Linked DNA regions of Canis lupus familiaris. The protein of the gene in region 3 interacts with the protein of the main gene of each other region in a pairwise test. Links are inferred from orthologs where the notes say so. Each region holds a gene or a part of one and is shown on either strand. Other genes may lie near its edges.

Region 1 (2,822 bases), on a different chromosome or scaffold from region 3:
AGACCATCTCTGTGTCCCCCTTGCCTTCCTCCTGCTGGCATTGAGGCCTCGGGCTTCGAAAAGCACGATTTCCCTTCTAGAATTGGGGGTGGGGGACTTGACGTGGACCCAGGTCAGCCAGGAAGGGCTGAGGGGTCGCGGGTACCGGAAAAGGGCGTCGCGGGGGGGGGGGGGCGGGGGGGGTCCTGATCCACAAGCGGCTCGCAGGGGAGGGCAACCCCGGGAGCGGGCGGCAGACCCGCGGCGATGGAGGGGCGGCTGAGACACTGGCCCCGCCCCGCGGACCCCGCGCGGGTCCCCAGACGGGGGGTGGCGCTGCGGGCGCGGGCGGGCGCCGCGCGCACTGCGGTCCCCGCGCCTCCGCCGCAGAGCGCGCCACGCTCCGCACGCACCTGCCGCCGCGCCGCGCTGCCCAGAGCCCCGCGCCCAGCGCCCCTGGGAGCCCCGCCGCGCCGCGCCATCGCCCGAGGTCGCCGCCGGAGCCGCTGGAGCCGCTGGAGCCGCCGGAGCCGCCGGAGCCGCGGGAGCCGCCGGGCCGAGGCGCGGGCGTCGCATCCGGGCCTGCCTTTGAGACAACCTCTGCGGCGGCGGCACGGCCCGGGGACGCCAGGCTGGGGCAGGTGAGCTCGGGCGGGGCGGGGCGGGACGGCCGCGGGGTCGCCACTCGCAGCCCCTTCCTACCGGCCGGGGTTGGGCCTTGGGGGAGGAGGCTGGGTCCGGAGTCTGGTGAGGATCAGGGTCAGAGGTCGGGCGCCCCGTCTTTTGTGTAGGGTGAGGGTGGGCCCCGGGTGCTGCCCTCACGCCGTCTCTCACCTGCAGCCCGGGCCTGGTCCAGGCCTCTCTTCTGCTCCCGCTGCAGCCGCCGCCGCTGAGCCCGCGGCCTGGGGCCTCCCGCAGCCAAGGCTCAGGCTAGCTGCCTTCCCTGGGCGCCCTGTCCTGGAGCCATGGGGCCCACCTAGCCCCCGCCTGCCCGGATGTCCCTGCTCGGGGGCTGCTGACCTCAGTTGCAGGGGGAGTCCCCCCCACGCCCCCTCGCCAGCCTCAGCAGCCGGAGACCCTGGGTGAGCCCCTGGGCCAGACCTGCAGCCCAGGGCAGCCTCCCCTACCCCCCTGCCCCCGCCTCCCTCCGCCCCCCCCACCCTTCCCTCCTCCTCCTAGGACTGGACCAGAGAAGCCACTGTGGCCACTGGGGGGGGCCCTGCCCCCCCAGCTCTTGCCGGCCGCCCCCAGGAGTCCTCGGGGCGGCCGGGGTCCCTACCAGGCCTGGCAGGACCAGGATGCTGCCCCCTCTCCTCCTCCCCGGCCTCACCCAACACCCCCACCCACCCGAACACCCAGTCTGACTGGGGACAGCCGGATGCCGGCTGACCCCGGGCCCGAGGTGGGCAGTGGCTGGCCGGGCTTCCTCATGTCCTGCCTGAAGGGCCCCCATGTCATCCTCAAGATGGAGGCCATGAAGATTGTTCACCCTGAGAAGTTCCCTGAGCTGCAGGCGGCTGCCCCTTGCTTCCCACCAGCACCGCGGCCCACCCCTGCCCTGGCACCCAAACGCGCCTGGCCCTCAGACACAGAGATCATCGTCAACCAGGCATGCGGAGGGGACATGCCTGCCTTGGATGGGGCACCCCGCACTCCTCCCTTGCCGCGACGGCCCCGAAAGGGCAGTGTGGAGTTGGGCTTCCCCCGAGTGGCACCAGCGGACGAGGTCATCGTGAACCAGTATGTGGTGCGGCCTGGTCCTGCCACCTCAGGGGCCCCTGCCACGGCGGCACCAGCCTCAGGTGAGCCCCTGGAGTGCCCCACCTGCGGGCACACGTACAACGTCACCCAGCGGCGGCCCCGAGTGCTGTCCTGCCTGCACTCTGTGTGTGAGCAGTGCCTGCAGATTCTCTATGAGTCCTGCCCTAAGTACAAGTTCATCTCCTGTCCCACTTGCCGCCGCGAGACTGTGCTCTTCACGGACTATGGCCTGGCTGCACTAGCTGTCAACACGTCTATCTTGAGCCGCCTGCCACCTGAGGCACTGACTGCCCCGTCCGGTGGCCAGTGGGGGGGTGAGCCGGAGGGCAGCTGCTACCAGACCTTCCGGCAGTACTGTGGGGCCGCGTGCACCTGCCATGTGCGGAACCCGCTGTCTGCCTGCTCCATCATGTAGCACCCACCGGCTCACCACTGCCTGCCAGTCCTTGCTCGCCGCTTCTTCAGGGATCCGGCCCTGCCCTGTCGCCTGTTGACCCCTCACCCACCACAGCTTCTGGCCCCTTCCCATGTGGCATTGTCGCTGCAGCCAACTCCGCCATTAAAACTCTTTGCCAAAGTTTGCACCTTGTTCCCTGGACTGAAGCCTGAGCTTGTGGCTGAGCCGGGGGCTGCAGCCCAGACAGGGTCCAGCCTGGAGCCACTGAAGGCAGGCTCAGTGTTGCTGGGGGTCAGCCCACTGTGCTGACTGGTGCCAGCCTGGGCCAGGGCAGCCACTCAGGAGGGCTGGGCCTAGCTGTGTGTATGCATGCGAATGCCTCCCACACCTGTGTGGAGCCAGCCAGCCTCCTGTGTGGGCTGCTGGGGCAGATGTGCAGAATGGGCAAAGGGTGGACATGTCCTCTGCACTGGCCACTGGATGTGGGGGCAGCTGGATGGGGGACACCAGGCCCCTGGTTCCCCTAGACCCTCTGAAGTTGAATGGGAATGGCCTTTGGGCCAGACTGAAGCAGGGTTGAGATAGGCTAGCTGAGATCGTAGTGGGGTGGGAGGACCCCATGGCAGAGTGGGGGAGAGAAGGGTTGGGGAGAGCCACAGGGCATCGAGGAGGCGCATAGACATGA
Region 2 (4,010 bases), on a different chromosome or scaffold from region 3:
GTGAGATGACAGGAGGTCAGCCAGAAGCGCCTCTGTCCCTCTCCCACTCCTGCCCCATTGGACAGACCATCCCTCTTTCCCAGGGGCCACCCGCGGCCACTAGAGGGTTCTAACAGAAGAGCCCCCGCGGCCCCATGGCAGTCCTGCTCTCAGCTCTGCCCCTCAGGGCACGTCCTGCGCGGGCAAGGCCTCGGGTCATGGCAGCCCCCCACATGGGCCGCCTGGTGCAGCATGTGAACAGGCGCCCTGTCGCCTTCAGAAACCGATGAGACTCAAAGACGTCACTCCTCTCCTGACTCCCCCTCCTGAGTGAGAGCAGCCCTTCCAGGCCAGGACAGCCAGGCGCACGGGCCGCATGCCCAGGACTGTGCCAGGCCGCATGGTCACACCTGGGAAACAAGCACGGGCTGCGTGCTCCCGGGTGCACTCAACACAGAAACGACCTGCCTCCCCTGCGGGAAGTCCTCCCTCACACCCTGCTGAGTCACCTGCCTCTCCTCCTTCCCTCCAGACCTCTCCTGACCGCACGACTTGGAATTACCTGTACTACACCCGCAGAGCTTTCTGATTAGCCAAGGCTCTGGCTTCGTGGCCTCACCCCTCCTGCTCTGCTCAGACACACAGGTGGCCCGCTTTTCATGTCCCAAGGCCTCTGGGACCTGCTTCCTGACCATCCCTGCCCTTCTGCCCTCAGCTAACCACCTCAGGTTGCACAAAAGATGAATCCCGTAGCCCCACCTTAGCCCCATGTGACATTTACTTCTATAAAAAAGCCATTTTTAAGACACCTCACCTGCCATCCCAGGCTCCCCTGGGCAGCCACGGGAAACCTTCTAAAACCTAAGCCCAAGCTTGTCGCTCCTGCACCAAGCCCTTCCACCACACGCCCGACACAATCCTGAGGCCCCCTTCACAACCTGCCCGTTCCCTGCCTTCACACCTCTCCATCTACGTTGCTTTCCCACTGTTGCTCCCACAGGCCCAACTGGGTCCTACCACAGGGCTTTTGCACATTCTGCACCTTCTGCCCGGAATGTTCTGTCTGCATGTAAGATGAGGAAGGAGGTCTGGGAGCTGCTGGGGCTGCTTCAGGGTGTGTGTGTGAAGAAGACTAATTTCCACATGGCTGAACCTCACCTCCTCTGGCTCTCGGCTCAGATGTCTCCTTCCCAGAGAGGTGTTCTGGGATGCCCTAACAGTCCCCAACCTCATTTGCTGTCCCCTGACCCAGCTTATATTTCTTCCTGGCCCTGAGTACCACCTGATCTCTCACCACATGTGCACTGGTTTATCTGTCCATCTCTCCCCACTGGAAGGCGAGCCCTGAGACCGACACCCGAGACACCCATGACAGTCCTTGTCACACACTCTGAGCCCCAGGCCTGCCCCAAGTGTGTCACAGAAGCCTGGATCTCCACGCTACCTCCTTCTTCTCTCCTCCCAGGCCTCCTGGTGGACACAGCCATCGCCCCCGCGGCCCCCCCCTTCCTGGAAGGCTCAATCCCAGCTCCGTCAGCCTCCCCTCCCTCCTCTACTTGCTGAAGGCCAAGTGGAAGCCTTCGTATGGTCCACTCCCCCTCTGATCCACTCCGCCCTCTCTTAAGCTGCCCTCCTCTCTCCCAGGACCTGATGCAGTCCACTGGGCCTCCCTCCCCAACTCAGGAACCTGGCCCTCATGGGGCTCCTTCTTCCCAGTCCCAGGAACCCTGGATCCCCATGACGGATGCCCTGATGTCATGCACGCGCTCTCCCTCACCCACCCCCGCTGCCCCACGATTCCCCTGCCGCCCTGCCTCTCCCGCCTACCCCTCACAGCCTCCCTCTCCACCACTTCCCGTCCTAGACCCCACTCAGTCCCCAGGGCCCCCATCCCTGAACACCCCCTTTGCTCGTACCACCCCCAGAGGAGCTTCCTTCCCAGCCCACCGGGGCCCGCCTCCGACGGCCCCTGCTCCAGCTCCAGCTCCTCCGGCTCCTCCCCAGACTGGCCCCAGGCCCTTTCCTTCCGTCCACAGAGGCCTGCGCGTGTACTCCCCGACCTTCCCTCTTTCCGTCGGCCTCAGGATCTCCCTCCTGACTCAGCCTTCGCCCACAAGGTCCCCATGTCCCCCGGCACGAGGCCCCGAGCTCCCCACCTCCACCAGCCGGCCTCCGCGTCCCTCCCCGACCTTCCTCAACCGCTCGGACCCCCGCTCCTCGCCCCACCGAGACCTCTTCCAACACCGCCTCGGGCTCCCCGGCCGAACCACACTCACCCCGTCCTCCCTCCGCCACCGGGGCCGGGCCGCTACCGCCGCGGACGCTACGCCTCTGCATCTTCACGACCCCAGCTGCGACCTCCGAACCCTCGGGTTCCCCCGAATCTAGGCGATGCCCCTCAGGGCCCTCCCCGCCCACCCGCTGCCCCGCGGCCTCTCCGCGGACCCCCACCTCGCTCCCTGCAACCCCGCCCCCCGGCCCCCGCCAGCCCCGCCCTCTCGGGCCTCGCCCCCCGCCCCGCCCCCGGAGGCTACCCACACCCTCGCCCCCTCGCCCCCCGCCCCCCGTGCCCCGCCCCCAGAGGTCTCCCCCCCGCCCCTAGCCCCCTCTGGCCCCCCGCCCGTCCCTGCTCCCGGGCCTCAACACCCAGCGCAGGTCACGCACCCCACGGACCCCGTGAGCTTCTGACCAGGCCCCGCGCTCTTGAACTTGATGTCAGCCTTGATCTCCTGGAAGAATTTCTTCATGGTGGCGGCGGGCCCGGCGGCGGGGGGCCGCGGGGGGCGGGGGGCACAGGGCCCAGTCGGGGTGGGGCCGGCGGGCGCGAACAACCGGAAAGAAAATACCTCGCCGCCGGAAGTCCCGCCTTCGCGCGGCCGCCCACGTGACAATCGGCCGGGCGTGCCTCTCTAGCTCTCCGCGCCTCGCTGGCCCGCGGCGGCCGCTCCGTACGCTCGCGGCGCGTCTCGGCGCTTCTTCCGGATACTCTGTTGCCAGGGGCGACGAGCGCGCTTCCCGCCCGAGGCCGCGCCGGCGCTCCTTGCACCGCGTTCTCCAAGGCGGCGATGGGAGACGGTGGGACCGGGCCACCGAGCCTCGGCCTGCGTGGGGGCGTCGGGGCCGAGTGGAGCCGCGCCCGTGCCCGGCGCTGGGGTTCCCTCGGGCACACGCGCTGGGGGACGCGGCCCCGCGGGGCTCGGGCCGGGGCGCCCTGACGTCATCCTGGGGCCCCTGGGATTCCGGGAAAAATCCGGTGCAGCCCCAACTGACCCTGCGGAGCTTGGGTTCCCTGAAGCGCCCGCCTCGGAGGAGGATTGCGGGGCTCATGATGCCGTCAGAAAGCTTTCAATAAATGTCACCCGTTATAATGACTCGTTTCCTATTTGGGAGTCGGCCTTGTTAGCAGCGGGGAGGGAAACCACTCGCAGACCTCGCGGCGGCGTCGACGGGTCAAGTCTGCGGCAGGGCAGGTGGGGTTAGGTGCTCGAGGGAAAAGGTGGACGCAGGGAACGAGGCAAAAGGTTGGCAGGGCGGCCGCCAAAACGCAGGGTGTCTGGGCATCAGATGATATAAAGGGTCTTTAGCAGACTCATTTTTAGGAGAAGCACACCAGTAGCTGCGATTCATTTGGGTTTTCTCTTTTCAATTCTTCCATCCATTTTCCCCACCGCCCTGCCCCAGGCAACCCACCCACCTGCTCTCCTTATGGATGAGCTCGCTGGGGTTCCTCATGTCCTGACTTTTGTTTCTGTTCCTCATATGAGAGAGATCCTATACTGTTTGCTTTTCTCTGACTTACTTCATTTATTGCCCTTGGGGTCCATTGATGTTACAAATGGCAAGATTTCATTCTTTTCTTGGGTGAGCGATGTTCCGCTCTATTTCCACACCACCTCTTCTTTATCCATTCATCCATCGTGGGCGCTTGGGTTCTTTCCATAGTTGGCCATCGTGAACTGTGCTGCAATGAATGTGTGGGGTGCGTGTATCTTTTCTAATTAATGTTTTTGTTTTCTTCAGGTACTCAGAAG
Region 3 (4,010 bases):
AATTAAAAAAAAAAATTAAAAAAAAAAAAAAGAACATTGTGTTCTGGGCAGCTGGATGGCTCCTTCAGCCCAGGGCGAGATCCTGGAGGCCTGGGATTGAATCCCACGTTGGTCTCTCTGCATGGAGCCTCTTTCTCTCTGATGGATAAATAAAAAAAAAAAAAAAAAAAAAAGAAAAAAAAAAGAACATCTTGTGCTGGGGGCGCCTGGGTGTCTCAGCAGGTTAAACGTCTGCATTGGGCTCAGGTCATGATCCCGGGGTCCTGGGATGTGCAGCCCCTGCATGGGGCTCCCTGCTCGGCGGAGAGTCTGCTTCTCTCTCTCCTTTGCCCATCCCTCTGCCGGTGCACTCTCTCTCTCTCAAATAAATAAATAAAATATTTTTTTTAAAAATGTCTTGTGGGGCAGCCCAGGTGGCTCAACGGTTGGGCGTCCGCCTTCGGCCCAGGGCATGACCCCAGGGTCCTGGAATCGAGTCCCACGTTGGGCTCCCTGCATGGAGCCTGCTTCTCCCTCTGCCTGGGTCTCTGTGTCTCTGGTTAACAAATAAACAAAAATCTTAAAAAAAAAAAAAAAGGTCTTGTTTAGCTCCATCTCTGTACTTGCGCAGAGGCGGCGTATCTTAAAATGAAGGTTGCCCGGGGCACTGCTGCCTTAGAGGGTGGCACCCCTGCCCTTAAGGACAGTGAGGGTAGGGACGAAGGGAGAGAGAGGGAGGCTACAGGAGGCGGCAGGCCGGGCCCTGCGCGGGGCCTCCCTCGGGCAGAGGGGCAGCGACGCAAGTGCAGGCGGGCACCTGCCGGCGGGACGGGCAAGGCGGCCAGGACCCACTGACGGCGCCGCCAGCCCGCGCAGTCCAGGGGCCGGGGCCGGGGCCGGGGCCGCCGCGCTCCGCAGGTGAGGTCACCTTGAGCTGCTGCGCAGAGGTGGAAGCAGGTTCCGGGGAGCGGCTTCAGCGGCTCTGCCCCCGAGCGCCCCAGAGAGAGAGAGAGAGAGGAGGGGGGGGGGCGGAAAAAACAAAGGCAAAACCAAAAAAAAAAAAGCCAACAACCGTGTTTGGAGACAATACCTGCATTCGGTTTTCTTCCCGTCGTGGGACGCGGGTGGGGGTGGGAGGGCGAGACCCAAGGGGCGGGGCCGCCGCGCGCCGGGGGGGCGGGGCCACGCGCGCCCGCCCTCCAGCTACTGGACGCCGCGCGGGAGGGGCGGGGCTTCCGGTGGCGGCGGCGCTCGGGCGTCGGGTGACGCGAGGCGGACGGGCCGTCACGTGACACGGAAGTGACTACGAACAGGAAGAGGACGAAAAAAATAACCGTCCGCGACGCCGAGCCGAACCGGACCCGCAGCCACCATGAACAGCAAAGGCAAGGGCAGGGGGCGGCCGGGGCCGTCGGGGGGACAGTGCTAGCCTGGAGCGAGCGGGCCCGGAGCCCGGGGTCGCCAAGCGGAGGCTTGGGGCGCGCTGCGCCTCCCTCCCCGGCCGGCTGCGGCCCCGGGGGCCGCGCCAGACGCCTTCGTCATCCCCGAACTGCGGCTGCTCGCTGCTTCCCGGCCCTTTCCTCCTTAAACTCTGTGGCGCAGTTTGGAGCTGCGGGCTCGGGTGGAGGGGCGGGGGGGTGCAGGGGGGAGGCTTGTCATGATGGGCATCTGCGGGAGCAAATGGGGAGCTAGAGCAGGGATGCGGGTCGGCCAATGGCGCGCCGGCGGGGGCGGGGCTTCGCGCTCCGGAACCAGAGGCCGGCGCCCGGGCTTAACCAGTGCGGCGCCGGCGGGCGGGCCCCGGGGCCCGGGGGCCCGGGGGCGGCGGAGGGGTCTCCCTCCGCGTGCCTCGCGCGGCCGCCCGAAGTGCCCCCGGCTCCTGGGACTGTGCCGGCGTCGGGCCCCACACGGTCCTCCGCTGTGCCTCAGGACGGTTCCCGTTATCCTCCCTCGGGTCCCGAGGGCTCACGTCCATCGCGCGCTGTATTCGGAAGGCGACCTTGAGTAGGAAGCGGCGGGGCAAATAACCCGCAACCTCCGTGACCCAACGAGGTCGCGGCTCGGTCCAGCCAGGCCTGTGGCGACCACCCGGAGCCGGGGCAGCGCGTCCCTGCCGTTGGGCACGGGCAGGAACGGGGCCCCACACCTGCCCTGCATCGATGGAGAAGCTCGGGTGTGCCAGTGGGAGGACTGCCCCGGTAGGAGTAGGGATAAGGGTGCGAAGAGAATATTCTCTCGGCCCCAGAAATCAGCCCCCACCCCCACCCCACCACCCAGAGCGGTCTGTCTACACATCTCCAGCTTGCTGCCCCTAGGGCAGCTACCCAGGATGCTCTGCCCCATTTTGGTGGCTCTGTGTGGTAGGCAACATGCATTTTCTTTTTCTTTCCTTTTTTTTTCTTTTTTTCTTTCTTGTCTTCCAGGTCAATATCCAACGCAGCCAACCTATCCCGTGCAGCCTCCTGGGAACCCAGTGTACCCTCAGACCTTGCATCTCCCTCAGGCTCCACCCTATACTGATGCTCCACCTGCCTACTCAGAGGTGCTTCCAGTTTACTAGACTTGAACCCAGTGCTCTTGGGTCACATCTTCAGTCCTTAGCTAATAAGCCTGAGTCCACGCATATCTATTCAGTGTCCGTAAATAGGAGAAGGGAGGGCTCACGTGAATAGTCTGAAACACTGTACACTTCAGCGCAATTTCTGTTGGGGTTGAGACTGCATCATCTGATTGTTTCATGTTTTTTTTTTTTTTTTTTTTTTGGCACCGGGTGAGGTTAAGAAGATGAGCTTGCGTTCCTTGAGCCTCACGTTAGCTATGGCAGGAAGTGATGCAGGAGGGTACTGAGTGGCAGTGGAAAGGCAGTTTGTGTAACTCAAGAGTGTAATCTGCACAAGGACAATTAAGAATTGAGCGTAGAAGGGATCTAAAATCGGAATGTCATAAAGTAACCTGTTGCCTTCTCTTCTAGCTCTATCGTCCGAGCTTCGTGCATCCGGGGGCTGCCACGGTCCCCACCATGTCAGCTGCATTTCCTGGCGCCTCACTGTATCTTCCCATGGCCCAATCTGTGGCTGTTGGACCTTTAGGTTCCACAATCCCCATGGCTTATTATCCAGTTGGTCCCATCTATCCACCTGGTTCAGCAGTGCTGGTGGAAGGAGGGTATGATGCAGGTGCCAGATTTGGAGCGGGGGCTACTGCTGGCAACATTCCTGTGAGTATGACCTTATCAGAACAACTCAGCTCTTACGTAGTTTAACTTTCTGAAGAGATTACATATTCATCCTTTCACCATCCCTGGGTAATAGCTGTGGTATGGGTATAAGCACTGACATCCAGTAGTTGGGCAGAAAGCAGTTGAGGGGGCAGGAGAACTGTGGCAAGTCAGTAGCATCTGGCACATTCCCTGGGGCCTGAGTTAACCAGATTCCTTTGTTTTCCTATACCTCTTTAAAGCATTAGGAGTCCTGCCTGCTGCTTTTGCAGTTCCACTTTGGTACTGGTCTAGTAATACTCCTTATTCAGCCTGTAACATTTACTTCAAATTTGCCTTCAGTATGGCATTCCATTAAGAAACGTGATAAAAGAAAAACGTGATGAGTAAAAATGGAGAAAGACACATGAGATAAGCACTGTGTGTTATATGTAGGCAACTTGAATTTAAATAAAATAATAATTTTTAAAATCCTGAAAAAAATGAAGAAAGCATAGTCCCCTATTAAGTGGCATTTAGAAAGATACTAGAGATTTTAGTTATGTTGCCTGCTTAGCTCCCCCCTCTATAAGAATTAGAGCCCAGGTGGTCCTTGCCTCAAAGCCATATACCTGAAATGAGGTGAGAATGCCTTTAAATGAGTGGTAGGCTCTTTTCCTGTCTGTACCTTTGGGTTCACAGAGAATATAGACCTGCTTTACAACCCACGTTGGCAGAACTAGCTTTAAGATGTGATTGGTCAGGACACTGCCATCTTTCTAATGGATCCTGTTTCACGTGTGTCCACTTCCCTTGTCTCAGCTGCCCTCTGCCC
Region 4 (4,073 bases), on a different chromosome or scaffold from region 3:
AAGAGTGCAAGGAGCCAGAGAATTCACAAACTGAATAAACTGAGACCTAAACAACATGTTATTTAAATAACTTGAAAGATGATGGACATCTTGTCATCTCAAGTTTAATACAATGGCCAAGTTACTGAAGCTACCAAGCCAAAATGTAAAACTAATTTGTGAAAATAAATAGTTTCAGGAACCAGGATTCTACCATTAATAGCCGTTGATAAAGTTTACAACCCAGCAGTTAGTAATTCTCATCAAGAATTAACTAATGTTCATTACCTGATCCCCAGTGATGCTATTGATAAAGAGCAATGGAAAATTTGGTGGAAGAAGTGGTGAATCAAGCTCTCCCTTCCATGTGCTATATTTCATTGGAATATGAGTAAGTATGAGTGGTAGGAGAAACGGAGAGTTGGGGGTAGTACTAATCATCAAAATGGCATTTGATTCCCCAAATGTGGGGAGTCACTCTAGTGGGTTGCTTCACTGTGACTCAAGATTTGTTAACTGAGGACATAAGGGAATTTGAGTAAAGCCAGTAGACATACTCCTAAATTTTACACTGAAATGTTCCAATAAGTCTAGGACAAGATTTAATAAGAGTCACCTATAAGAAATTAACCTACTCAACATAATCAGATTCTAAAATACTTTTTAAAGCAAATTCTTGCTAAGGCAAAAATTCAGGAGAGAAGTCTGGGGACGTACTTTCCTAAAAGTACATGCCACTTATCTATTGGAAGAGGACATTAAAATATACTATTAGGTGTTTAAACCAATGTATCATTCCCCTGTTCTTAAGAACATAACCTTATTTTTCTAAAATAAAAGGTAATTACCTAAGAGCATCAATTAGGCATGTACTTCCCTTCTCAATATCTATAAATACAAATACATTTGAATCTTTGTTGTAGACCATGTGCCCAAATGTTACATGGCAAACAACTGTGGTAAATCCACTGCATTATGAACAGGAGCAAATTAACAATAGCTCCCAAAATGGGAACTATCCCCTTCTCCCCAAAGGGAAAATAATTTCCCCAACTTCTCCAATTACATCCCAAAGAATGCAGAAAGAAGGGCAGCCCCGGTGGCTCAGCGGTTTGGCGCCACCTTCAGTCGAGGGCCTGATCCTGGAGACCCAGGCCCGAGTCCCACGTCGGGCTCCCTGCATGGAGCCTGCTTCTCCCTCTGCCTGTGTCTCTGCTTGTCTGTCTGTCTCTCTTTCTCTCATGAATAAATAAATAAAATCTTTTAAAAAGAGAGAAAATTAAGGAAACAATATTCACAGAAGTTTGAATCTATAAATTTTCAGTGCTAATAACCCAGCCTTCACTTATAACCAAGCTTTCCTATCATACTGATTTTTTATTGGATCAAATCATGCGTCTTGGAGGGCACAGCAAAGACTAAAATGGCTCTAACAATTCACAGCGCTCATATTTCACCATTTTCGCCTTTGTAATGACCCCAGAAGCGACAAATCTGATGCATCCACCCCGTTTCTTTCTCTCCACTGATTAAACGGATCCTGCACTCCAGCCACGATCTGCCGCTAGTTTCTCCCACCGCACGTGCCCTGCGCCCGCGCACGCGCGCGCGCGCGCGCGCGCACACACACACACACACACACACACACAGCCTCCAACGCACTTCACGGCCAGGGCCAGGCTGTCTAGAAATCCGCACTGTGTCACTGCATATACGGCAGGTTCCCACTTCACACATCCAGGAAGAAGAAAGCCCCCCACCCCCACCCCCACCCCCACCATGCGCTTGCCAGGTCTCAGCAAAGCCCGTAACAGGACAGAGGAAGCTGCTCAGCCAAGAGCGGGGCAGCAACCATCACCGCCTTAAAAAAAAAAAAAAAAAAAAAATTTTTAAGTGGTTTTCCTGCCGTCATGTCACCTCCCCACACACACACGCACACACACACACGCACACGCACACACACTGCAGTTCATCCCCCAGCTTTGCATGTGGAAGGCGGCGAGCTCCGGGCTGCCCCTGGAAGGACAGCCGGCCCGCAACTCACTCGGAGCCCCGCGGCGCCGACCGGCTCACCTGCGCGCCCCCCGCCCCCGCCCTCGCAGCCCCCCGCCCCCCGAGCCGGCGCCGCGGAGCGCCCAGCGGCCGGCCCAGCCGGAGGGGCACGCGCCCCGCCACCTGACGGGATCGGCGGCCCAAGCCCCAGGAGCCCCCTCCCCACACACGCCACCTGCGCGGCGCGGCCGGAGGCTGGACCCCTCGCCCGCCGGGAGGGATGCGCTACCTTTGGACTGGCAGTCGGCACAGAACTTGTTGTCCTCCTCCAGCAGCAGGTTGGCCAGGACCGCCTGGTACCGATCCACGTCCTTCACCGACTTGCCGGTCATGGCCAGGGTGCCGCCGGGGGCAGAGGGCGACGCGCCCTCCCCGCCCCCCCCGAAACCCCTGCCCAGTCGGGAGGTGAGGACTCCCGGTCCCCCGCCCAGGGGCACCTCCTGAGCGGGGGTGAGGGGTGAGGGTGGGGGTGGGGGTGGGGGTGGGGAGCCCTCCCTCGGGCCGGGCCCTGCGCCCCTCCTCTCGTCAGCCGCGCCCGCCCCCCACTCTGCAGCCCCTCAGCGCGGCGCCCCCTGGCGGGCTCAGGGAAAGGCCCGAGTCCTGAGGAGGCTGCCGGACTTAGAGACCCTCAGCCCGGGCAAACGGGGCGCGCAGAGACGCCCCCCCGCCCGCCCGCCCGCCCGCCTGTCTGCCTGTCTGCCTGTCTGTCTGTCAGTCTGCCGGCAGCGGGTCCCGCGCCTCGGTTTCCCTGGCAGCTGCCGCCCGCTCGGCCACCACCTCAGCCGCCTACTTCCGGCAGCTCTTCCTCTCCACCTCCGCCCAGCCCAGCCCGCGCATGCGCCCCGCCCCTACCGCGTCGCGCCGGGCTCTTCCCTCGGCTCCGCCTCTCGGGAGCCAATCCGGCGGCGGCGAGGGGCGGGGCTTGGGGAGGGGGCGGAGCGGCCACGCCTCCCGCGCGTCCTTGGAAAAGAATGAATGGAGCCGCGCGGAAAGCTAGTGGAGGGAGTGGAAGCAAGGGAAGGACCTCGACAATTAACACTTGCGGAGTTCTTGCCCTGTGCCAGGCTCTGTGTTAAGCGCTTTATACGAATTATCCCAGTATAATCCTCAAAACGTGTCTGTGAGTTAAATATTTGTCATTCTTATGTAACCTGAAGGTTGTGGCTACTCCAAAGTCATCCAGCTTGTCCTTTTCCTCAACAGCCAGATGGAGGGCCCAACCCCCTAATCCGGGATAACGGGGACAGCACATCCTCCCCAAGTTTTCAGAGGATCCTGGTCACCTCTCACTGTTCCCACTGAATTCTGGGTTCCTCTGTTCATTAGATTTCCTGCCATCTTAGGGCATTGTTTACCTGGTGCCTGGATACTTTCATGTCTTAAATCCTCCCCAAACAGCGCAGTTCTGTGCGGCAGACGTTCACTAAAGGTCATGTGGAGGGATGTGCTAGAGAGGAAGGGTGATTACAGCAAAACACACGATAGGGAACTACTTAAAATGATTATTAAGCATCACTGTCCAAAGCCACCCTCACTACACAGAACCCCTCCACAAAAATCCTCTTCTTGGGGAGGCTGGGTGGCTCAGTTGGTTAAGCATCTGACTCTTGGTTTCAGCTCAGGTCATGATCTCAGGGTCCTGCATGGGATTAGCCCTGCATGGGGCTCTGTGCTCAGTGGGAAGTCTCCCTGAGGATTCTCTCTCCTTCTCTCCGCTCCTCCCCTCACTCACCCTCTCTCACTCTCTCTCTAAAATAAATAAATAAATCTTAAAAAAAAAAAAAGTAGTTTTTCTTTAGGGATTCACCTGCTCCCTGGCTAATGTTTTCATTCATTCATTCACTCAGATAATTGTTACTGAGAAACTTCTAAGTATCAGGCACTAGGCTAGGGGAAAGGGGAACAACATGATCCAATTAGTGGTTTTAAAAGATCACTGGCTGCCGTGGGAAGAATGGGTCAAGGAAACTGATTAAGACCAGATGCTCATAGTTCTCTCTAGTAAAACCCTCCAGGCTCCCTCAAAACTTTCATTTCATCAG
Region 5 (4,179 bases), on a different chromosome or scaffold from region 3:
CAGCTATGGGAGAACTTAAAAAGCAGGCGAAACATGTACTGTTTCTTGGACTCCAGGTAACATACCTGCAGGAACAAAGCCACTTGAAAGAATACCACAAATATCCTAACTACAAAATTCTGAAACCGTCCGTTCAGGTGTTCCCTCCCACGGATAAATGGGGTTTCTACCCCAAGGAACGCTCCGCCGCCGCAACGTTTTTAACTTTGTTACGGACGCACCACATAAAATTCACGCTCAGGAGTCAAAGTGCTATTAAAACAGCCAAGATGATCTCTTGGCGAGTTGTAAACTCTCAAACTCTTTTATTCGGCTTCCCCCACCCCACCCCAGCCGCATCGCCCCTAAAATTTACAAACCCTAATCACCCAGATTCGAGGTCTTTGACTCATCAGAGAAGAATGCAGCTGATGAGTTATCTATTAATCCAGAATGCCTCAGCTGGAAAGAGATCGCACCGAGAACTTTTAACACTGAAAAGGGAGGGGGAGGGGGCAGGGAACTGAAGGTGTCTCCCCGCCGAGAACTTTCCCCGAGTTCCTTCCTTCCTCACGCCGCACGCACAAACACCCCCCACTCCCAGCCCCGGTCGCAGACTCGGTCCCGACCCTCTGGGTCCCAGGAACCGGAGGTCACCCGGGAGTCAGCTCTCGATTCCGCTTTTAAAATCCCACGCAGACAAAGCTGAGCATTATACTTAGCAAACTCCGAAAAGTCCTCAAAGTTACGCAACTTTAGAAACGCGCTCTGCGAAGAGACCCCCCCCGCCGCCCCCCCCCCGGCCCGGGGCCACAGGTCGCGGCGAGGGCCGTGCCCAGACCCCGGACTGCGGCGCCCAGGTCGTGCCCCCGCCGCAGCGAGCCCCCCGGTACCTCTTCCTCCTGAAGGTTGGCCTCGCTCGGGGTGTTCTCCTTCTCGGCTTTGCCGCCGTTGTTCATCTTCCCGGTCCTTCCTCGCCGGGCAGGGCTGGGGCGCGGGGCTGGGGCGAGGGCGCGCTCGCCCGCTTGTCCCTTCCCCGGGCGCCGGGGCTCCCTCGGGCGGGCGCCGCGGGCTGCGGGGGCTGGAGCCGGGGCAGCGGCGGCTCGGGCTCCGCGGCGAGGCGAGGCGAGGCGACCCAGGAAGTGCGCGGGAGACACGGGGCAGGGCGAGGCGCGGGCCGGCGGGGACGGAGACAATCGGGACCGGGAGGGAGACCTGGAGAGCGCGGGCGGGCGGGCGGGCGCGAGGGAAGGAAGGAAGGAAGGAAGAAAGGATGGGGCGCGGGCGCGCGTCCCAGGAGGGAGCCCAGAGAGTTGGGGATGTGGCCGCGTCGGGGCTGGGGGCGGCCGCTGCCCGAGCCTGGCGGGGGCCGGAGGGAGGGGGCGAGGGGTGCCCAGACCCGAGGAAGAGGAGGAGGAGGAGGAGGAGGAGGAGGAGGAGGTGCGGGGCGCGGCTGGGACGCTGGGACCCGGAGAGCCGCTGAGTGCGCGCTCCAGGCAGGCTCTGAGAAGTACGGGATCCAAGCAGCTCCCTTTCTCTCGCCCTCCTCCCTCCCCTCTCTCCTCCCCCTCCCCCTCCTCCTCCTCCTCCCTCCGCCCTCCCTAGACGTGGGCTGCCAGCTTCAGCCCGGAGGGACGGGACGCGGGACGCAGAAGCCCCCCTCGGGAGGAGGGGCCGCCCGCGGCCGGATGGCGCGCGCCGGGGAGGGGCGGGGGGCGGCGGGCGGAAGCGGCCGACCCCAGCCCCCCGACTCGGCGGGAGGTCGGAGGGCAGGGGCCGAGGCGGACGAGGGAGGGAGGCCAGGTCCTCCCGCTTCCCCGGCCCCCGGGGGCCCCCGGAGCTGGCGAGCTCGCGCGGCGGTGCGCGCCCGCTTGGAGAGGGGCTTCGGGGCGCCGGGCCGGGCCCGCGCGACGCCCGGGACGCGCCGTGGGCTACCGCCGTGGGGATCGCGCCCCCGTCGCTCAGCCTGCCCTGCCTCTGCAGCACCGGCTCAGACCTATTTCCTCCCTTCCTACTTGGCAGCTCGAAATGACAGGATGCGAGAGAACGAGCGAGGTCCGGGGGCAGCCGGCTCGGGGCCGGCGTTTCCAGGGCGCAGCTTCAAACCCACCTCCCACGCCGGGCCCTCCCAGGCTCTCAGCCCCGGCCTTCGCCCTCTGCTAGGCTTCGCGCCCCCCTCTGCTCAGGCCCCTCTCTCGGCCCTCAGCAGACCGTCCTGGAATTGCTTACCTGCCTGCCTCCCTCACCCTTCCGGGGGAGCCTCCCCACAACGCAACGCCAGCCTCACCGTGTCCTTGTTTACCTTGATAATCCCACGGCTAGTTAAATACGCTACCGGGTATACAGTAGGCACTCAATAAATACTTGTTGGCTAAGTGACTGTTGCTCACGGCGAGCCGAGCTGGAGGCCAACCCAGATGATCTTCGGAGGGTCAAAGCCCCTTAAGGAAGAAAAAGGGCTCAGCATTCTGGGAGGGGGGCACCCAGTACCTGTTTAAGCACCACGCGCCAGAGGACTGCCTGGGTTCCGTTTCCTCACCTGCGAAATGGGAGTAGTTATAGTTACCTCCCAGGGGGGTTGTAATTAGAGGAGATTATAGGTTGGTAGAGCTAGAGCACCCAGCACTCATTCCTGCCCGGTGTAAGTTTACAGAACAGGGAAACTAGCATTATTATTAAGGAAATTTCCATTTTCCCGGGGCCATAGAGAGCTTCTCCATTCCTGTATCATAAACACATAAATTTAAAAGGGCCTCTATCAGAAGATTCTCCCTCACTTCCCACGCCCAGGAATTCTCTCACACGACATGCTGTTCCTTTCCAGCACAGTACCAATCACAACTTCTATTTATTTGCTCGCTTCACTGTTTATCTTTCTCTGCTCTCCCCCCTCCCCGCCAGACATTCTTCACCCTGTACTGGTTTAAGTGCTGCTGGGGGTGGGGTGGAGGTGGGGGTGAAGATAAGGCTCCTGCTTCTAGGGAGTTTTAACTGGTGTTGTGGAGACGAGACACCCAAAACAACTCCATGGCCACATGATCAGCGATCCTGGTTCAAATAGCAGAAAGCAGAGAAAATACTTGTGTGACGAGCGTTGTGAAGAAAAACAGAGTGGTAATTCTTGCATTCACTTACTGGGGTTTTCTTGGGTTGGGGGTGGGGGAAGTCTGAAGCTTTTGATAAATAGGTTTAATTGCTGTCAGGATGTCATGTGCCTCTGTGGGGGGGGTGGGGGGAAAGCGTATCCTGGATGAAAATAAACCAAGAAACTGTTGAACTTGCAATGGAAGTTCAGAAGAGGCAAAGGCCACCACGATTAATCTGGAAATTTGGAGAGCCTTTCCAATCCCAGTCCCTCCCTCAATTACGTAAAGAACCACGAGGGGGCAATGTGTTCCTGAGCAATGGCTGCGTGGTGGTCTTGGGCCCCTGCGCCACCAATAAACACAGGCCCTTTGCCCTCCTGGGCCATTGCCAGGTACTGAATACACTCCACAGAAAGATATTGTCTTGCTGGAGCCTGGCAAAGGCCCAAGAAAAGTGACAGTTGATCTAGTCATTGATGATTCCAGTCAGACTCCACTTACAAGTCGGTGGAAGGTGCTGTATGATTCCAGGATGCTGCTGCTACCTCCGTCCAGGGAAATGTGGCCTAATTCCAAATGTAGAACCTGATTCTTTTGCCAGCACTTTGTCCATTGTTAAAAGTCAAAGACATCTGGCATAAAAAAAAAAAAATAAGGGCTAGAAGAAGATCTTTGTCTGATTTGATCGTTGTGTCCCCAATATCTAGACAGTGCCTAACACATAGTAGGCTCTCGGTGAATATTTTTGAATAAATGAACACAGTCTTATCAGAGATTGATTTTCAGCCTTGAATGACATCACATCTTTACAAAGCCCCTGCAGGAGGGACTGAATAAGTGGAAGTGTCTCAGCATAGGGAGCCACCACAAGGACACTAGGCAGATTCATGGTAGTAGTCTTTAGGCATTATTTTGCAGGGGAGACCCACCTAGATAGAGAGCTTGCTCAGAATGAGACAACTGATGAGATTTCAAAAATAAATAAAATTGCAGGTATTTGGATGGCTCAGTGGTTGAGCATCTGTTTTTGGCTCAGGTCATGATCCTGGGGTCCTGGGATCAAGTCCCGCATCAGCTCCCCTGCCTGCTTCTCCTTCTATGTCTCTGCCTCTCT
Region 6 (4,035 bases), on a different chromosome or scaffold from region 3:
GGGTGGGACAGGGAGTCTATGGCCGCAGAGGGCACTTCCTACTGGGGAGATCTTTCCACTGAAGAAACTCTTTAGCAAGGACATCGGAGGGTGGACAGGCTCCATCCTGGGACCTGGAACTTGATCTCGGGCAAGTCATTTAACTCTTCATGCCCCTCTCTCAAATGGGCATAATAATATAAGGATTTGATGAAGTAATAGTTGCAAAGGGCTAGAACAGCGCCCGGCAACAGAGAGTCACATAAACATCTGTTAAACTTCTAACAAAGGCACTCAATAAATATTTGATAAATTTTTGTTCACCCAACCAAAGGCTTGTATTTTATTTCATTATTATTTAAGAAAAAAATGGTGGAGTACATGATGGATGACTTTTTTTTTCCAATATAATATATTTTTAGTGGGAAAAAAGTGTTGGTGCCCATGTGTAAGCAGAAGCACTTAATATTTGATGAAAATTGCTCAAAATTTCTCATGCTTATAAAGGAGTATCATCAATAGGAGGATTCTTGGTTTTCTAAATGATCTAAACTCAAGCTTAAGTTACTGACAGACAAGTCTAGAGTGTACCAGCTTCATGCACAGCTGGATCACAATGCCCAAACAATTTCCTCAAGAGCCAGTGTCTCATCCTCACTGTTCTAGTAAGATGACCATGAGGAGAGTGCATCCCTCCACCTCTGCCACTTTCCCAACAAAGGGCCAGAACTTGGTTTGGCTTAAATCATGTAGCTATTCCTGATCAGTTACTGTGGCCAGGAGATAAAGTAAGATAGGCAAGGCTGGGGTCCCCGCCCATCCTGGAGCCTAGGAGGAAGGGTCAGCCCTAGGGACTAGGGGTGAGGGAAGGGCAACCCCCAAAGGCTGTTGGCAGAAGAGGGAACGGATACTGGGCTGATGCCACCACCTTGGCTCAAATTCAGATATGAGGAAGCTGCTCCTAGCAGTATATCCCTTTGCAGAGTCGCATCCCCAGGTGGGATGGACTCAATGCCCCCATGTGTCTCTGACACCGACCCTACACCCTCTTTCCATTGTTTCACAGGGACCCATGGGTGAGAAAGCAGAGGCTGGGCAAGGGGAAGACTCCAGATGAAATGAATGCTGTGCAGGGATTAGGGCCGTGACATTGTGGGGACTCCCCAGGGCAGAGGGAGGAGAGGACTGACTTTCACTTCAGCACAGTACCCTGTGAGTGCTCCACAAGCTGCAATCTGCAAATATCCAGGCTTCCCAGGAACCAGGTGACTTCCCCAGGGTTCTGTGACGCTGTCACTGATCGGTTGTTAGTAGGAGCTGCTATATGTGTCCATCCTTCGTCCTGCCGGGCCCTTGGCTGCCCCCAAAGCTTTGTGCTGCTGATTCTCGGCTATTCCTTTCACATACACATCTTTCCAGGAAACTGATTCAAACTTTTGGAAGTGGTCAGGGAGTATAAATAATAAACAACTGAGTGCTAGAGCCTAGAGTCAGCAAGCCGCCCAGGGTTCTGCAGGATGTGACCCTGGTGACAACAGCTCCTGGGTTTTCCAGGTGGTCCTAGTCCCAGGCAGTCTAAGGTTTAAATCCCTGCACTGCCACTTCCAGCTGTGTGACCTTAGACATGGCCCATGGTTTCTTTGGGTCTCAGTTTCCTTGTCTGTAAAATGAGAATAATACCCTCTTTTGCCAGAGCAGTCTCAATGAAACCACATATGGAAAGCAGTCACCCACTGGGTGGCTCAGTGGGTTGAGTGTCCAACTCATGGTTTCGGTCAGGTCATGATCTTGGGATCATGGGATCAAGCCCCGCATCAGGCTCTGTGCTCAGAGAGGAGTCTGCTGGAAATTCTCTCTCTCTCTCTGCCTCTCTCTGCCCTTCCCCCAACCCCCCCCCCCCACACACACACACTCTTTCTCTCTCTCAAAATAAATAAAAATAAAATATTTTTTAAAAAGAAAGAGAGAAAGCAGCCATCAGTAAGTTCCCTCTTGGCCCAGTGTCCCTGGCTGGCTCTCCCTTGTGATGTCACCACTCCACTGTCCACTGCAGATGGCAGAGAAGCCCAGGCTGGGTACCCTGCTAAGATCCTAGATACCGGAGAGGAAGGACTGTCACCTTGACCTTTGAGGGAGGCTTTTCACTCCTCAAATGGCTCTCCCTCATTTTGGCTTTGGTGTGGGTTCCTATAAAGGCTCAGAGAGGCAAGAAGGCCTTACCTGGAGGCTGGTGGACGGAAACAGCCAGCCAGGGTCACGAGCAAGAGCCCGGAGGGCTGGAGAGGGGTAGGACACAAAATCCCACTTCAGTGTGGCCGGTGTCTCCCAAACAGGAGACGAGAGAGTGCTTGCCTAGCTGACCCATCCCAGGTGCTGCACCAAGGGCACCAAGATCTTTGACAAGTCATGATCAGAATATTCTAGACTGGCCATCCAGCCTCTTTGCTTTATCTGTGGGGAAATTAAGGTTCGGAGAGAGGAAGGGACTCGGCCCAGGGCAAGGACATGGCGGAATCAGGCTGAGAGGTTCTCTTACCTTCACACTCCTCTGGATCCAACTCACGGCTCCTGGCTCCGGAGCAGAAATAATGAGGGCACAGAGCACCCTCGGGAGAATAGGGCACGTACCCCCTTCCTGTGGAGGAAACCTGCTATGGGTCTGCGGGGGGGAAAAATGAGGCACCTATGAAGATGGGGCCTCCCACAGGTCCTGGGCTGAAAGGGGATCCCCATGCAGAACAATGGTCAGGAAAGGCTCCCAAGAAAACCGGATCCATCCACAGCTCACGTGCCACAGGCACGAGGCCTCGGGCAGCCAGGTGCCCTCTCCGGGGCCCAGTTTTCTTTTTTCTTTTTTTTTTAAGATTTTATCTATTCACTCATGAGAGACACAGAGAGAGAGACACAGGCTGAGGGAGAAGCAGGCTCCATGCAGGGAGCCCAACGTGGGACTTGACCCCAGGACTCCAGGATCACACCCTGGACCTAAGGCAGGCGCTCAACATCTAAGCCACTCAGGCCCTGGGGCCCAGTTTTCCCATATGGCCAGTGAAAGACTGTGATAACCCATCTTCCTGGGCCCCTCTTGCTGTGGCTGGAGGCTGGGGCCAGCCTGATGCCTTCCGGGAGATGATCACCTTGTAGCCAGAGGAGACTGCCATTTGAGACAACAGAGGCTTTCTATCAGGCAAAGGGACTTCAAACTGAGGGTGGGTATCCAGGCACGAGAGGCCTTGGCCCTCTCCTGGCCTTGCCATCTGCCCAGCTCCCACTGTAGGCCTCAGCTCCCCCGCTGTACAACTGGGGGTAGGGAGGTACACAGGAGATGCCCTTTTCAGTGTTGGCTTGGTCTGGGAGTTGGTATCTGTCAGATCTCAGCAGCAGAGGTGGGGGCCAGGCCTGCCTTGGTCTGGAGGCCAAGAAGCCTGATAGTTAAGAACAAGGCTAACAACAGCTAGGAAGCACTTAATGGACTTCCACCTCTGTCTCTTTGACTCAGCAGATATTTACTGAGCATCTACTATGTGGCAGCCCTGCTCTAGGTTCTGGGAGACATTTGTTTAAAGAAAAAAAAAAAGGTGCACCTGGGTGGCTCAGATGGTTAAGCATCTGCCTTGGATTCAGGTCCTGATCTTGGGGCTCTGATATTGAGCCCCTCATCAGGCTCCCTGCTCAGCAGGGAGTCTGCTTGTCTCTCTTTGAGAGAGAGAGAGAGAGAGAGAGAGAGAGAGAGCATGAGGGGGTTCAGGGGTGAGAGGCAGAGGAGGCAGACTCCCTGATGAGCAGAGAGCTCTGATGTGGGACTCCTGAGATCAGGACCTGAGCCGAAGGCAGATGCCCAACCGACTGAGCCACCCAGGCACCCCCTAAATAAAATATTTTTTTTAAAAAGCATTTTAAAAAAATCCAGATCCAATACCAGATGTGGATGATCAGGGGAGGGGGAAATGGAGGAATGTGGTCCAAAGATATCAACTTCCAGTTGCAAGATAACTAAGTACTAGGGATGTAATGTGTGACCCCAGACCTATAGCTAACAGTGCTGCATGAGATATA
Region 7 (3,500 bases), on a different chromosome or scaffold from region 3:
ATATAACCCACACTCACACTAAATACAAGGGAATGCTGGCTTTCTCCGGTTGTGGTTTTTCAGATCATAACTTGACGCCCACCAATATGGACAACTGCCCATGGCCTAGGTCTGGTCCTTCATCTCCTTAGTCAGCCTGACCTGGTGTAGAAAAGTACTTCCACATTGACTCTGGGAGACAGCAGCTCAGACGGTTACCTGTAGGTTGTATCAACACTCAGGTTGGCGGCAGCTAACTCTGATGGAGGTATCCACGCAGGTAATGTGTTCCCAGCAACCCATTTTGTCCACTCAAATAAGCCAGGCTCGACACGGATCTTCAAGTGATTTTCTTGTTGTAAACCTTAGAGGTAAAATAAAACAAAGATGAAGGAATGGGCACTGTGTTTCAGAGGCCAAACTGTTATAAAAATTCTATTCTCTTTTCTACCAGTCGCTATAGATGGTTAAAGGAAAGTGGAAGAATGTGGGTTTGGTCAAGGGGTTTTAATTTCCGTGTGTGACAAACATACAAGTTTAATACTCTGGCCACACCAACAGGATGTATGCTGGCTCTAAGTGGTCTCTGACTTTGAGAAAAAACCACAAGTCATTACCCATATAATGTATACACTTCTGTGACTGCTAGATTTTCTTTTTCTAAGGTTAAGTCCCAAGACTGCCTCACCAAGAGACTTCAGAAATTCTCTCAGCATCCACTACTCCAGAATAGCTTATACTGTTTTTGAGTTATCACGTAAATTATTCATTTTCTCCAGCAGAAAATCCAATTTTGAATATTTGCAAGTGCCAGTGCACAAGTCTGGTGTTTTATGGAAGTGTAATCACACTCGACTAGTCCCTGTTTGGCTTTCTTTATATTGCTTTAGCCCAGTTTTTTAATACATAAATGCATTCTGGTTTACTTAAGAAATAGAAGCCTCCAAGGTAGTATAAATTCTTCATTGGCTTGGCTATTTCTGGCTCATTCATTTGTTTTGTACAAGCGAACAGTTCTACTCTGTTTCTATTAGTTTTCCTTCCTGTGAAATGAGGATGGAGATCCCTATAGGGTGAAAGTTGAGGATCTTTATAGCAACGGTGCTTTTAAAGTCATCCAATTAACTAAAGAAACAGGGATGATTAAGATTTGTAGATACTTAGGAGCACCGTTGCTACTGTAAACAAGAAGCAAACAGAGCAGAGTGGGAGGAAATGATTTCACTGTTTCACTGCAAAAAAAGGATCACACTCTGTAGGCTCCAAATTATTGCCAGACAACGATATTTCACAAGCTTACCATTCATCCAAGAGGGCTTTACATTTTCAAGAGAAAAATTCTCTCTCTACCTCCTTTTGTCTCATTTATGCCACCAGAGTATGATTTGGGGACTCTTGCACAGACGCCTTCCAAAAGAATCATTGCTAAAAATTCCAAATGTGAAGCTTTCAATTGGTGCATGTTCCCCAAGTCTAGGATAATCTAGGCGTAGTGCTGTCTAGAGGCAGAAGGATAGTCCCGTGGGCCTTTATCAAGTCTAACCTTTCAAGATGTTGTATGCGGTCTGAACGCAGCGCAGCGATGGGGAGCAGTAGACATGGTCAATAATAGTGTTGCTCTCCAATAAGGCTTCCCCTGCAAAGGAAGGCAGAGGAGAATCAGCTTGCTGGATTTATGCAGCCTCTGCTGGAGCTTAACGTGGGAGCGGGTGGCAGGCAGACCCTGCACACCTCTTTTTTTCAATGGAGGCTCACAGACTCCAACAGTTTGAGCCTTGTTTCCAGCCCATCCCCTCATCAGCATTTCTGTGAAAGAGTCCAAAGGGAAGACCCCTCTTGTCTTTTTCTTTCCTTCTCTCTGAAGCTAACAAGCAGGAAAATATCCATCTAGGAGAGATCCAGAAACATGAGAATGCTCTGATTTCACACTTGTGATATAAACGAGATGGTTCATATTGTGACAGTTAGATCTTGTTTTACTTTTATCCTGCGCTAAACAAGATCTCAACCTGTCATCTTCTTAGATAACAGAGGTAAATCCCAACACCCGATACTTCAACACTTTCTTCACGGAACATGCTTCTTTTCTCTACTGGATAACCATGCGGGGCAAGGTCTTCTGTGAACTTGTTCTTTATCCAGCTCACCAGCCTTATCTCGTGTGGCTCACAAGCCATGGTCTAGAAGGAAAGAGCTTTTCTCTAACTACTTTCGATGTTACTTCCCACGTCTATGACTTTTTATGGTTCTCCCCACCAGACACACACTTCCCACCCTGCTGCTCCTTCTCTGTCCAGGTGACTTCTCTTCCCCTCTTCTGTGTGTGTGTGTGTTTTATGTTCCCATAATACTCTGCACACAGTTCTATTCAAGATGTATGATATTTATTCACTTTTAAGCTGTTTCTCTGAGGGTAGGGGCTCTCACTTGGATCCCCAACACCTAGCATGGGACCTTGCACAAAGTAAACGATCAGTGAATGTGTTAGAGGATTGAACAGGACAGGGCTGCTGTCTCCACCTGGTATGTATGGAATAGACCTGCAAGAACTGACCATTTTCTTTCTTTTCCTCATCTTTTGAAGATTTTATTTATTCATTTGAGAGACAGAGAGTGAGCAAGCAAGCATGGGGAAGGGCAGAGGCAGAAGGAGAAGCAGACTCTCCCCTCTGAGCAGGGAGCCTAATGCAGAGCTCAATTCCAGGACCCTGTGATCATGACCTGAGCCGAAGACAGACACCCAACCAACTGGGCCACCCAGGCACCCCAGAACTGACTATTTTCAAAGGATCAATTGGCTTCCCTACATCTAGCCGTTCCAGGCTTCTCTCCTCTCCTCCTCACCCCTGCACTAGAAGCTGACCTTGCCCCATCACTGGGCCATACAGCCCTCAAGGGATCATACCTCATTCACTGTGGTAAACTAGCCCAGTGCCAAGCACAGTGTTCGGAACTTCATGGTTGTGTAATAAATAAATCGCTTTTGAATCGGGGAAATAAACTACTTGTAGGAAACTTGTAGAGAGCTGTAGAAAGTGTCCTGGCATACCCACTGGAACCAGTCTTTTGTAGACGTAGCCAGGAAAGGCTGTGCAATCACTCCAGGACACTTACCCACCAGTCTTGCTTGCATACATCCAAACACGGTGATCGGAGCATCTTTCTCATAATCCCGGAAACCACCACTCCGCTGAGGTAAGCTATGAGGCATGTTCAGGTTGGTGCGTATGTAGCGGCCTGGAAAAAAAAAAAAAAAAGTAAAAGGATGACTTTGTTTTCCTTAGGACTTCTGTTGTTGATCCTGATGGCCCTCCGTTTTCCATTCCTTTTTGGCCAAAGAAAGGGAACTGAACTTTTCTAGAAAATATTGAAGCTGACACGTTTCCTTTGGTAGAGTCTGGGAATCCACTCCTGCATTCTGGTTGACAAAAGTGATAAGAGATAGTTTTTAGGTGAAAGTAACAACCACACATCCTAAAGCAGGAAGATTCTGAGAGATGAAAACCTCCCAGTCTTAAGAC

Evidence for each region.
Region 1: the proteins of DAZAP2 (region 3) and RNF208 interact in binary tests that used the Homo sapiens proteins (3 or more experiments, as listed by UniProt). The two-hybrid records come from large-scale screens. The link is inferred for Canis lupus familiaris from reciprocal best matches to the Homo sapiens genes DAZAP2 and RNF208.
Region 2: the proteins of DAZAP2 (region 3) and UBXN6 interact in binary tests that used the Homo sapiens proteins (3 or more experiments, as listed by UniProt). The link is inferred for Canis lupus familiaris from reciprocal best matches to the Homo sapiens genes DAZAP2 and UBXN6.
Region 4: the proteins of DAZAP2 (region 3) and SMAP2 interact in binary tests that used the Homo sapiens proteins (3 or more experiments, as listed by UniProt). The two-hybrid records come from large-scale screens. The link is inferred for Canis lupus familiaris from reciprocal best matches to the Homo sapiens genes DAZAP2 and SMAP2.
Region 5: the proteins of DAZAP2 (region 3) and RBPMS interact in binary tests that used the Homo sapiens proteins (3 or more experiments, as listed by UniProt). The two-hybrid records come from large-scale screens. The link is inferred for Canis lupus familiaris from reciprocal best matches to the Homo sapiens genes DAZAP2 and RBPMS.
Region 6: the proteins of DAZAP2 (region 3) and BATF2 interact in binary tests that used the Homo sapiens proteins (3 or more experiments, as listed by UniProt). The two-hybrid records come from large-scale screens. The link is inferred for Canis lupus familiaris from reciprocal best matches to the Homo sapiens genes DAZAP2 and BATF2.
Region 7: the proteins of DAZAP2 (region 3) and UBASH3B interact in binary tests that used the Homo sapiens proteins (3 or more experiments, as listed by UniProt). The two-hybrid records come from large-scale screens. The link is inferred for Canis lupus familiaris from reciprocal best matches to the Homo sapiens genes DAZAP2 and UBASH3B.

What each region holds. Positions count from the first base shown.
Region 1 is NC_049230.1:48,434,711-48,437,532, forward strand, and holds RNF208 (RING finger protein 208), read left to right. Parts: upstream 1-1,149; 5' UTR 1,150-1,357; coding exon 1,358-2,155; 3' UTR 2,156-2,322; downstream 2,323-2,822.
Region 2 is NC_049241.1:55,634,193-55,638,202, reverse strand, and holds the start of UBXN6 (UBX domain-containing protein 6), read right to left. Parts: upstream 2,801-4,010; 5' UTR 2,727-2,800; coding exon 2,644-2,726; intron 2,381-2,643; exon of another isoform or gene 2,256-2,380; intron 1-2,255. UniProt on the Homo sapiens protein: May negatively regulate the ATPase activity of VCP, an ATP-driven segregase that associates with different cofactors to control a wide variety of cellular processes.
Region 3 is NC_049248.1:43,029,760-43,033,769, forward strand, and holds the start of DAZAP2 (DAZ-associated protein 2), read left to right. Parts: upstream 1-1,210; 5' UTR 1,211-1,351; coding exon 1,352-1,364; intron 1,365-2,402; coding exon 2,403-2,521; intron 2,522-2,950; coding exon 2,951-3,119; coding exon of another isoform or gene 3,120-3,196; intron 3,197-4,010. UniProt on the Homo sapiens protein: In unstressed cells, promotes SIAH1-mediated polyubiquitination and degradation of the serine/threonine-protein kinase HIPK2, probably by acting as a loading factor that potentiates complex formation between HIPK2 and ubiquitin ligase SIAH1.
Region 4 is NC_049236.1:2,683,438-2,687,510, forward strand, and holds the start of SMAP2 (stromal membrane-associated protein 2), read right to left. Parts: upstream 2,801-4,073; 5' UTR 2,364-2,800; coding exon 2,261-2,363; intron 1-2,260.
Region 5 is NC_049237.1:34,777,312-34,781,490, forward strand, and holds the start of RBPMS (RNA-binding protein with multiple splicing), read right to left. Parts: upstream 2,801-4,179; 5' UTR 2,519-2,800; intron 2,421-2,518; 5' UTR 2,282-2,420; intron 1,195-2,281; 5' UTR 939-1,194; coding exon 873-938; intron 408-872; exon of another isoform or gene 393-407; coding exon of another isoform or gene 369-392; intron 1-368.
Region 6 is NC_049239.1:52,687,731-52,691,765, reverse strand, and holds the start of BATF2 (basic leucine zipper transcriptional factor ATF-like 2), read right to left. Parts: upstream 2,801-4,035; 5' UTR 2,516-2,800; intron 1-2,515.
Region 7 is NC_049226.1:11,541,256-11,544,755, forward strand, and holds part of UBASH3B (ubiquitin-associated and SH3 domain-containing protein B), read right to left. Parts: intron 3,217-3,500; coding exon 3,094-3,216; intron 1,616-3,093; coding exon 1,523-1,615; intron 344-1,522; coding exon 199-343; intron 1-198. UniProt on the Homo sapiens protein: Interferes with CBL-mediated down-regulation and degradation of receptor-type tyrosine kinases. Promotes accumulation of activated target receptors, such as T-cell receptors and EGFR, on the cell surface.